2 linked regions of the Xenopus tropicalis genome follow. The protein of the gene in region 1 purifies or fractionates together with the protein of each later gene. This does not show direct contact. Links are inferred from orthologs where the notes say so. Each region holds a gene or a part of one and is shown in the gene's direction. Other genes may lie near its edges.

Region 1 (4,859 bases):
GTATGCATTTTTGTACCAAAATCTCTACTAATTAACGTAGGCAGAGAATCCGCCCCATCTGGCATTAGTCTTAAGGCTTTGAGTTCACATTACAGAAAGACCCTTTATCCACAAAACTGTAGGCCTTGAAAGTTCCATACCTGTATTTATTTTATTTAAAAAAAATTTTTAGTTTTCCCCTTGCCAGAGCTCAAGTTTTATCTGTAGTTTAGACTGCTTCCAGCACTCCAGCCCCGATCCCCACTGATTCTTGCCTAACGGGTGCTGTTTACAAAAGTGGCTTATTTTTACTCCATGATTTGGTGCGGTTGGAATTTGTGTTCTGTTAAATCCCATGAATAGCCGGCATGAGTGCATTTAGAAGACCCGTTGCTAGGAGCCGTTTTTAAATAAGCATGCTTGCCTGCAGAGTATTAAGGTTGTATTTGTTTGCCTTCTCAGATTTACTGAGCATGTATAGCAAGAAAATGGGATTTTTAAACTGCCTGTGTCAAAGTAAGATTAAGGACTGCTTTTCCCATGAGCTAAGAATTGCATGAGGTTTTGCACAGTTTTGGTAACGCTGCTTTTATATGTCAGAATGCCTCGGGTTTTAATGGCACAAAATCACATTCTACTTGTACTATATGTATATTGTCTAGCTTTACCTGCTAGTTTTATTGATAAAACCAAATTGTGATTGTGCAGTTTGTTCAGTGCTTTAGCTGTCTACAGGGCTATTTGCCCAGGGCCCACCATTATTCATTGCAGTTGCAATAACTTAAAGGAGAAATAAGCCCTATAAACAAATATGGATAGAAGTGTTGTTTTATATACTGAACTTCATACTTCAGTCTAAAGGCCTGGATTTTAAGTTTTAAAATCTCTTAACAGTAATAACCAGGCCTTTAAAGTTGTGCACAGGGGGTCACTGTAGTTAGGCGTGTCAGTGGCACTGCACATGCTCAGTGTGCTTTGGGACAGCTGCTGAGAAGATAAGCTTAGGGGTCATTAAGCAGAAAATGAGGTTCGTCTGTCACAGATGCTGGCGCTACAGGGCTGATTATTAAAAGTTGGTGCAAATTGCACTGAGCTGCCATATAATGACAATTAAATTGCTATCAGTCTTGTAACTTGTATAGTCAATAATTTAAGCTGCAAGTTGTTCCCTAAGTTCAGGTACTGTATGTAACCGCATCACAGAACATGGGGAAATAATATAGGGAGCTCCTGGGGGCATATATAGAGTAGGGATGCACCGAATCCACTGTTTTGGATTTGGCCAACCGCTGAATCCTTTGTAAAGTATTCGGCAGAATACCGCATCAAATGCTTATTAGCATGCTAATTAGGTTTTAGAAGGGTTAAATGTCTGAAAATTTTGGAAAAATTTACGTGACAAAAAGTCACGTGATTTTTAAAATTCGTATTCGGTTTGCTCAGGACCATGGATTCGGTCAAATTCGAATCCTGACAAACAAGGCCGAATCTTGGCCGAATCCTGGATTTGCTGCATCCCTAATATGGAGACACAGATCTCCCCTGCTAAAGGACTTTGGTAGCCTTGGGCTGGTACCAAATCTTAAATTATAATGTGCAGCATTCTTGGCCTACTTCATTTTTTTTGTCTTAGTTTTAGTTCTTCTAAGGATGCACCAAATCCATAATCTTTGTGATCGACTGAATCCCAAATCCTTCAGGTTTCCCCTGAAATAACTAGCCCTTTCTTTTCAGTCATCTTGCATAGCTCTGCAATGTAGCTTTGTTTCTGAGGAATATTTTATATACTTCCATAACACTGAAATGCTGCTCACCTTTACAATGGATAAGACTGTTGGCAATGGTGCGAGAAGTTTTTCCATTTCCTGTCAAGCAAGCCAATCAAACGGTTTAATGATTACAGGGGTCAGAAGCTTACCCTTGCAGTTATACAGGCTAGTGAGAACAGACTACAGGTTGATTTGTTTGCCCCCAAGATCTGCTGTATAAGGAGCTCCTGGTGGCTTCTCTAGGTTGCTTTACACAGCATATATTTAATCCCTGTTGACTGAACCAAAATGTCTTGACAGTATATAAATGTAAATATATGGGTTTCATATTTTGAAAAATGTTGTCATACTGTTTGCAGCTGCTAGGGCAAAATTTGTGTTTGCCTTGTTTCTAATTTACTGCTTTTATTTTGGTCTCATTGTCCCTTAAATCTTGAGCTCTTTGGTGGCTGGGTATCTTTATTAATTTGAAAAATGTTAACATTGACTAATATTTAAAATACATTCAGCAGTTTTAAACAAAGATCTAATATTTTTTTCCCCTTCTTCCCTTAGAGCTCAATCATGGTAGCCTAGGCTCTCACTATGAAAACACCCACTGGGGGCCGGTCTCTTCCAATGGTGATTCTAGCACTACCTGGGAAAAAGTCATTGTAGACGGCACAGAAAAAGTGTGGCCATCGATCACAGGCACTAGCTCCGAGTTGACCTCAGAATGTATGGATATTGACTCTTCCCCCAGCTCTGGGGCAGGAAAGAGCCACCTAGTGCCGTTTGGGGATACCACAGAGGAAATGGATACTATGAGAAATGGCATTGGACATAGTTCTCAGAGCAAACTTTTGGTTGGCAACAACAGCAATAATGCAGGCAATGGAAGTATTAATGGGCCGTGGGCCGTGACCCATGGAACTGTAATAAGCACATGTCAAGATGGCCCCGATAGCAATTCAGATAGTAGGCACAACAGGATTAATGCTTGGGGCACCGTGAATACTTCAGTGAACGGAGTTCTAAATCCAAGCACTTTGAATATGAATGGCAACCATGGTGCCTGGCCCATTTTGGATAGCAATGGACATGCCCTTAAAGGGTCAAATAATTCTGGCACAAATGTTCCAAGCAGTACTATAGGTCAGGTGTCTAACAATCGGAGTATTAACCCTAAAATGGGCAGCTCAGCCCCTGGCTCCTGGGGAAATCTTCAGGAGAATGGGGATCCTGAACTCAGTGGAACACGGAAGGCTTCTTTTAGTGGGCGACCTCAAAACCTTAACACTGAAATGACTGGACCAAATAACACTACTAACTTTATGACCTCTAGTTTACCAAACTCTGCTGGCTTATTGCAGACAAATGAACTCCCTAATTCTACAGGGCATGGGGCTTGGAGTGTGAGCAATATGAATCATTCTCCTCTTCACACCCCTTCAGTTACAAATGGCACTTCCATTCCTCACCTAAGTAACGGTGAGGAAAAAAACAGCGGATCATACGGTACTACATGGGGTACTTCCGGCTCCTCTTATTCTGGAGATAAGATTTCAGTCCCTAAAGGGCAAGCTAATGGTGACACTGTGAATGCGACTATAATGCAGCCAGGCCTATATGGGCCCAATGGCCCAAACAATAAAATAAACGGGAATAAAGGAGGATTGTGGGAGTCAGGGACTGTAAACTCCCAAAATATGCATTGGGGAAGTGGAAATGCAGGAACTTCTGGTGGAAGTCAACGAGGATGGGGAAACGCAGCACAAAACACTGGCACTAATCTTTCAAATGGTGGTTGGAACAAATTGCCTAACAATCAGCATTCCAATGAGGGGGAAAACAAAGAAAATGGTAGGAAAACGTCAAATACGTGGAAGTCTGCTGAGGAAGAGAATGCAGGGCAAATTTCAGCAGGATCCAAAGGCATTGAGGCAAATGTATGGGCCAAAACTACAGGTACGGGGGAAAGTGAAGGTAGTGTAGACAGCACTGGAAGTCAGAGTGAATATGGGACCGGACACGGGCTTCAGGAAATAAGGAAGACGGACCAGCAAACTTTACTCCAAAGTATTGTAAATAAAGGCGACCTAGATCCACGGGTCTTGTGCAACACTGGCTGGGGACAGATTCCAATTAAACAGAACACTGCCTGGGACACTGATGCTGCTTCGTCTCTGAGCAACAGAAAAACTGACAATGGAACAGAAGCTTGGGGATGCTCTGTATCAAAGACTTCTAACTCAGGGGGATGGGTGGATAAGCCCAACCCTAACAGCAATGATACCTCATCAGTATCTGGGTGGGGAGATCCAAAGTCTGCTACAGGGTGGGGTGATGCCAAAGGCGCAGTAAGCCAAGGGGAATGGGAAGATCAATTTGCTGCTACTACTGGAATGGTCAAGAGCAATCAATCATGGGGGAATAATAAAGAGGACAAATCCAATTGGAATGATGCACAAAAGGTCAAACAGGGGTGGGGGTCACACAGTGGTGACAGCTGGGGAGAGAATTCAAAGAGTAATCACTGGGGAACAGCAAAGTCAAGTTCTAGCAGCGACAGCGAGAGATCTGTATCTGGTTGGAGTGAGCCTAGTCGTTCCAACTCCTGGGGAAGCGGAAATCAAAATAATGCATCAAGCTGGGCTGAACCCTCCAAGTCAACTTCAGCTCAAGGGTGGGGTGAGCCAAAAAAGCCTAACCAGGGGAATGGGGATGTTTCCAAATGTGGCCCGAACCACATGGAGAGCGAACATCTGCAAGCAAGCTCTGCAGAATGGAACAAAAAGCAAGAAAGTGGGTCATGGGGGGCACAGCCAGCCACCAATAAGTCTTCTGGGTGGTCGGGTGGATCACTGTCAACTCCAACAAAGGAAGATGAGCCAACTGGTTGGCAAGAGCCATCACCAGAATCCGTACGGCGCAAAATGGAAATTGATGATGGGACTGCAGCCTGGGGTGATCCCAACCAATACAAATTCAAGAATGTGAACATGTGGGATAAAAATACATCTAAAAACATGAGTGCTGAGGAACACCAAGGCCAGGTTTATGCATTGCCCCCAACTTCAAGTACTATGCCAAATAAGGAAAGCAGCAGCAGCAACAGCAACAGCTCTGGTA
Region 2 (4,859 bases), on another chromosome or scaffold:
AGTGAAATGTAATGGAACTATGTGTCAACATTTGCATATATGTTGTCTTTTAACACACTGCCTAACTAAATGTCATTTGGCAAGGGGTGCCTAAACTTTTGCATTCAACTATATGACTATGTATAATATGAGGATATTAGAAATCACCTGGCAGTTCCATGTTTAAAAGCACTCTGCTTTTGGCAATGAACCTTTACATTGCCATGTGATTTCTTCTTGTTACAATTTACTAGAGGGCTATTCTATCCAAGTATACCTCTGTCATCTCAATACAAGCAAGAGAAGCAATGCTCTTCCTCCAGTAAATTATGTTGGGAAGCATCATCTCTATTCTGGAAGTTTCCACTAGAGATCCTGTATTTTTTTAGTCTGCTGCTTTCCTCAGCAGTTCTTTTATTGCAGTGTTGTTCTTTTCTACACAGGATTTGGCGCACTCTGTGCAATCAGAACAATGAGACGGTCTTTGTCAGGTCATTGTTTTACCATAGTTGCTTACCCTTTCTACTATAGAGCAATGCCCTCTATTCATAATGTGTTATGTCACATTGCACTGTATGTTTGTAATGAGCTAGGCTGAACATTTAATAATATTATCAACATTATCTTGATATAATACGCAAGAGCCATGAATTCCCAGTGAATTATATCCTTATAATTGATTATAGCAGTTATAATTGTTGTAATTTCTGTCACATGACTCACTATAAATATAATAAACAATGTACCCCCTGTTCTAAAATAAAGTCACTTTGGAGTTCCATGACTGGTACTGCAAATGTTATTTGCCTATGTAGAATTTAAAAAGGGACATCTGATGATTAAAAGCATACATGCATTAATACACATAAGCCAAACTTGTCTGTGACTGTAAATGTGTTCCTTTTTTCCTGATCTTTTCTGTACCCCTTCCCATTGCAGTGGCTATGACTTTGGCTACCTAATAAAAATTCTGACAAATTCAAACCTGCCTGAGGTAGAACTAGACTTTTTTGAAATCCTGCGCCTGTTTTTCCCAGTGATATACGATGTCAAATACCTGATGAAAAGCTGCAAAAATCTCAAGGTGGGTGAGACTAAAATGCACTGGCCTTATTTTGTAAACCATGGTGGAAATCTGGGTACTTTTCTTCTAAAATTCTTTTAGCTAAATATTACTCATTAGTTTGGTTTTGGTTTTGGTTTCTACAGCAGACCAGCAGCCATTGTGTCGTAGATAGAGATGAATCAAATCCATCATTTTTGGATTCCACTACAAGAATTAATAGAGGGACATGGTATTTGGGTTGTATTCTGTAAAACTTTCCCATTGTCTCCTGGCAGGGTGGATTGCAGGAAGTGGCAGAGCAGCTGGAACTCAAGCGTATTGGTCCTCAGCATCAAGCAGGCTCTGACTCATTACTTACTGGAATGGCATTCTTTAAAATGAGAGAGGTAAGTTCACATGTTATTGATATGCTTGTATGTGGTAATTTTGAAGTTGGGAAGGAAATATTAGAGTAGTAGCTAATGCCAACATAAAGAAACCACTAGCAAAATAGCTTGGAAGCCCCTATTCCTTAAATCAACCCTGCATGATCCCCTTTATATGTAGTGGTTTGGCCCCTGATATTTCCTGTCCCTGCAGGCAGCTTGCGCCTTGGCAGGGGTCTGGGGTTTACCTGCTCCTGGGTGACTTTAGATGCATGTGTGTGAGATGCCTAGTTCAGCCCATAAAATTGTGCATTCTTTTAGATGCCTCTGACATGTCCAGAACCTATTGTGATCAATCAGTTGGCCAGTCAGAGAATGTGTAGCACTAGTAGTTAGGGGGGCATGCAGACATGTTACTTATATACTCAAGTGGTTGTAAGTATCTTTGAATTACTACTTGCTGTAGGTATGTTTTTCAGGGTAAACTGCCTGGATGTGTTGTTTCAGTGTTAATACTACTGTATGTCGTTTTTTAGCCAATCGCTTCTGACCAGTGGTATTTTTGTGTGTTTATGTTCATTTTCAGATGTTCTTTGAAGATCACATAGATGATGCAAAATACTGTGGCCATTTATATGGTCTGGGATCCGGATCGTCTTATGTACAGAATGGTACAGGAAATGCATATGAAGAGGAAGCCAATAAACAATCATGACACCAAGAGAAACTGCACTTTTTATTGCCAAACTACAGAAATTTGTACATGTTTTATCTCTGGTGATATTCCTTGGACACTGAATTTCCCCCATCTCCCTGCACACAGTTGTTCTGCCTTCATTCTTGTATCAATGTGGAACCACTTGGCCTTGGGGAGATCTGTGTCTCTAACTCCTATTTGCCTTACCTAGATATCAGCTGGCAGCATGGCACCGATAACAGCATCCTGTCACATCACACAGTAATGCGTCATCATTTGGTGCAAGATGGTTTGCCTTATTTTCTTACCTTTCACAACAATCATCCTCATGCTTCCAAAGCAGAAACTATCAGCAATATGCAACTATTGCCATCCAATGATTAGTACTTTAGCCTTGGGTTATTTGTCTCTTTAAATTCAGAAAAGACTCTATCCATATATATATATGCATCAGTTTGAGCATCTGTACATTGGTGTACCTATGCACTGATAACCACTGAGTAACCTGTACGTGGCATTCACTTGCCGGTGCACATAGATTTGTGCCTCTCCAGCCAAAAGCACATGAAATACTAACCCACTGGATAACTGCCGATTTGTTCTTTGTTACAAGCTTCCATATCCCTGACCCAGTTCTGCTGTTTGTAAACCTAAACATCATATGTTTATGCTTCAGCTTGACGTGATTAACACATTTATCTTGTTTGTGTTTGCCCAGGTCATCTTTTTTTTTTTTTTTTTTAATCCTATTTATTGGGTGCTTCATTTTGCAAAAGTCAAAATTTCATTGCTGGAAAAAAAGCCTCATGCAAAAATAAACAGAGACACAAAAAAGATACAAGAGGAACCAACAACAACAGAAAGTCAGGAATTAATTTGGATTGGATTAGGCGAAGGAATATACAATATTTTGTATTTGCAAAAATGACGTGTAATTATTTGTTGTAACAACAAAAACCTATTTGAAGTCATAGCTGAACAATGTTGCAGCTGTAGTGTAATACTAGATAACTTTTTTGGCAATATTTTTGCAATATATTTTTATATATATATATTGTCTGTGTAGACTGTGGAGTACTTTCCTATCTGTCACTGGATGGTAACTAGAGAAATTGTAGAATAGTTTTTTTTGGCAATGGCTCACCAGTGTTTCCCAGACAGCAAATGTGTGGATTGTATCATCACACTGACATGTAAGAAACCAGCAAGTCTCTCGTTCAGATACACCTGCCTTTCTACCTTTGTAATGGCTTTATTTTCTTTCCAAATGAGTTACAATTGTGTAACAAGAGTGGTCCTTTTTAATGCATAAGAAAAACAATTTGCAAACAAAGGATATTATTTGTTTTTAGAGCTTTTGTAAATAAAGGCTTAAAAAATTATTATTTTTTTTTGAAGGCTATTGATATCCTGTTATTGACTCTTTATGAAATAGAAGCCATAAAAGTTCCTTAGTGTTGAATCAAATAAGACCACCTTTGTTTACAAGTAATGGCACCTTACAGCTATCTGCACAGCAATGTTTGGGTTCCCCTGTCCCTTTTCAGCTTTGTTCAACCCTTGTGGCTTCTAGTGATGATTGCTGGTAGGTGGCTAATGAGCAATGTGCACAAGAAAAGGTTTTGTAGGGTGCTTTATCTTCATATCGCTGTTACTGACATATTCCGTGCTGATTATAGAAGCACTCCTCCAATCAGAGGTTAGTTAACTAGCCAACTAAGAAGTAAATTATCCTGAGCACGTCAAGGCCCAACTAGTTGTCCTGTAGTGATCATTTTGCCATGTCTTGCCCATGGTCTTTTTTTTATTTTAGGTATACTGTAGTTCACCTATGCATAAATGTTTAGCTTATTTCCTGTACATAATTTACAACACTTAGGGGCACTAAATTTTTAAATATGGCCCAGCCTCTGCAATTGCCCATTATTATTATATTAAGTGGCAGAGTTCTCAAATTTCTGTTTCCTGTAATTCAACTAAACTCATATTTTTACAAAGCAGAAGTAAAACTATCCCTGTGGAAAATGTATAATATAATCTATACAGTTATACATTCATTAAGACTTAATGAATTAGGTTAAAGTGAATGTAGGATAGGCCAGACCAGGGATGACTTTGATGTAGTTGGCCAGCTTGAATATGTTGCAATATATGAGCAAACAATCCCTGTTTTGTTTAAAGGAACAGTTCAGTGTAAAAATGAAACTGGGTAAAACAGACAGACTGCGCAAAATAAAAAATGTTTTCAATATAGTTAGTTAGTCAAAATGTAATCTATAAAGGCTGGCGTGAACAGATGTCGGTATATTACAAATATTTTTATTTTGCGCAGTCTATCCATTTTACAGTTTCATTTTTCATATTTTTACTGAACTGTTCCTTTAAAGGGGAGGACAGTTCTTAGTAGCTTAATGTACAGAATGTCTTAATGTCCTATATATGTATATATTTTTTTTTACATGAGTGCAGAGGAGCTCTTGTCTTTGTCTCAATGACACTATGTGACGCTACAGTTTTATTGCTATTACTTATCTGTTACAACCCTCTCCTATTTATCACCTTTAAAAACACAATAGTGACCGCTCCTCTTTGCTTCATACATCTGCTGATATCCCAGGCACTGATAGATATACTGCATTAGCATCTTAGATTTGTGCACTTGCCTAAACCAACCAATAATGTATATAGTTCTGGATGTATATTTTCACATGATTTTGTCAGGATGTGTATGGCATCCAGAATGGCAGGTTAG

The links. Proteins that work in one complex are often made in the same cells at the same time.
Region 2: the proteins of tnrc6a (region 1) and cnot7 purify together in Homo sapiens (affinity purification with western blotting; 3 studies listed by BioGRID and IntAct, with this or other methods). This does not show direct contact. The link is inferred for Xenopus tropicalis from reciprocal best matches to the Homo sapiens genes TNRC6A and CNOT7.

Annotation. Positions count from the first base shown.
Region 1 is NC_030685.2:20,137,925-20,142,783, forward strand, and holds part of tnrc6a (trinucleotide repeat-containing gene 6A protein), read left to right. Parts: intron 1-2,303; coding exon 2,304-4,856; intron 4,857-4,859.
Region 2 is NC_030677.2:42,291,849-42,296,707, reverse strand, and holds the end of cnot7 (CCR4-NOT transcription complex subunit 7), read left to right. Parts: intron 1-918; coding exon 919-1,063; intron 1,064-1,320; coding exon 1,321-1,431; intron 1,432-1,996; coding exon 1,997-2,125; 3' UTR 2,126-3,489; downstream 3,490-4,859. UniProt on the Homo sapiens protein: Has 3'-5' poly(A) exoribonuclease activity for synthetic poly(A) RNA substrate. Its function seems to be partially redundant with that of CNOT8.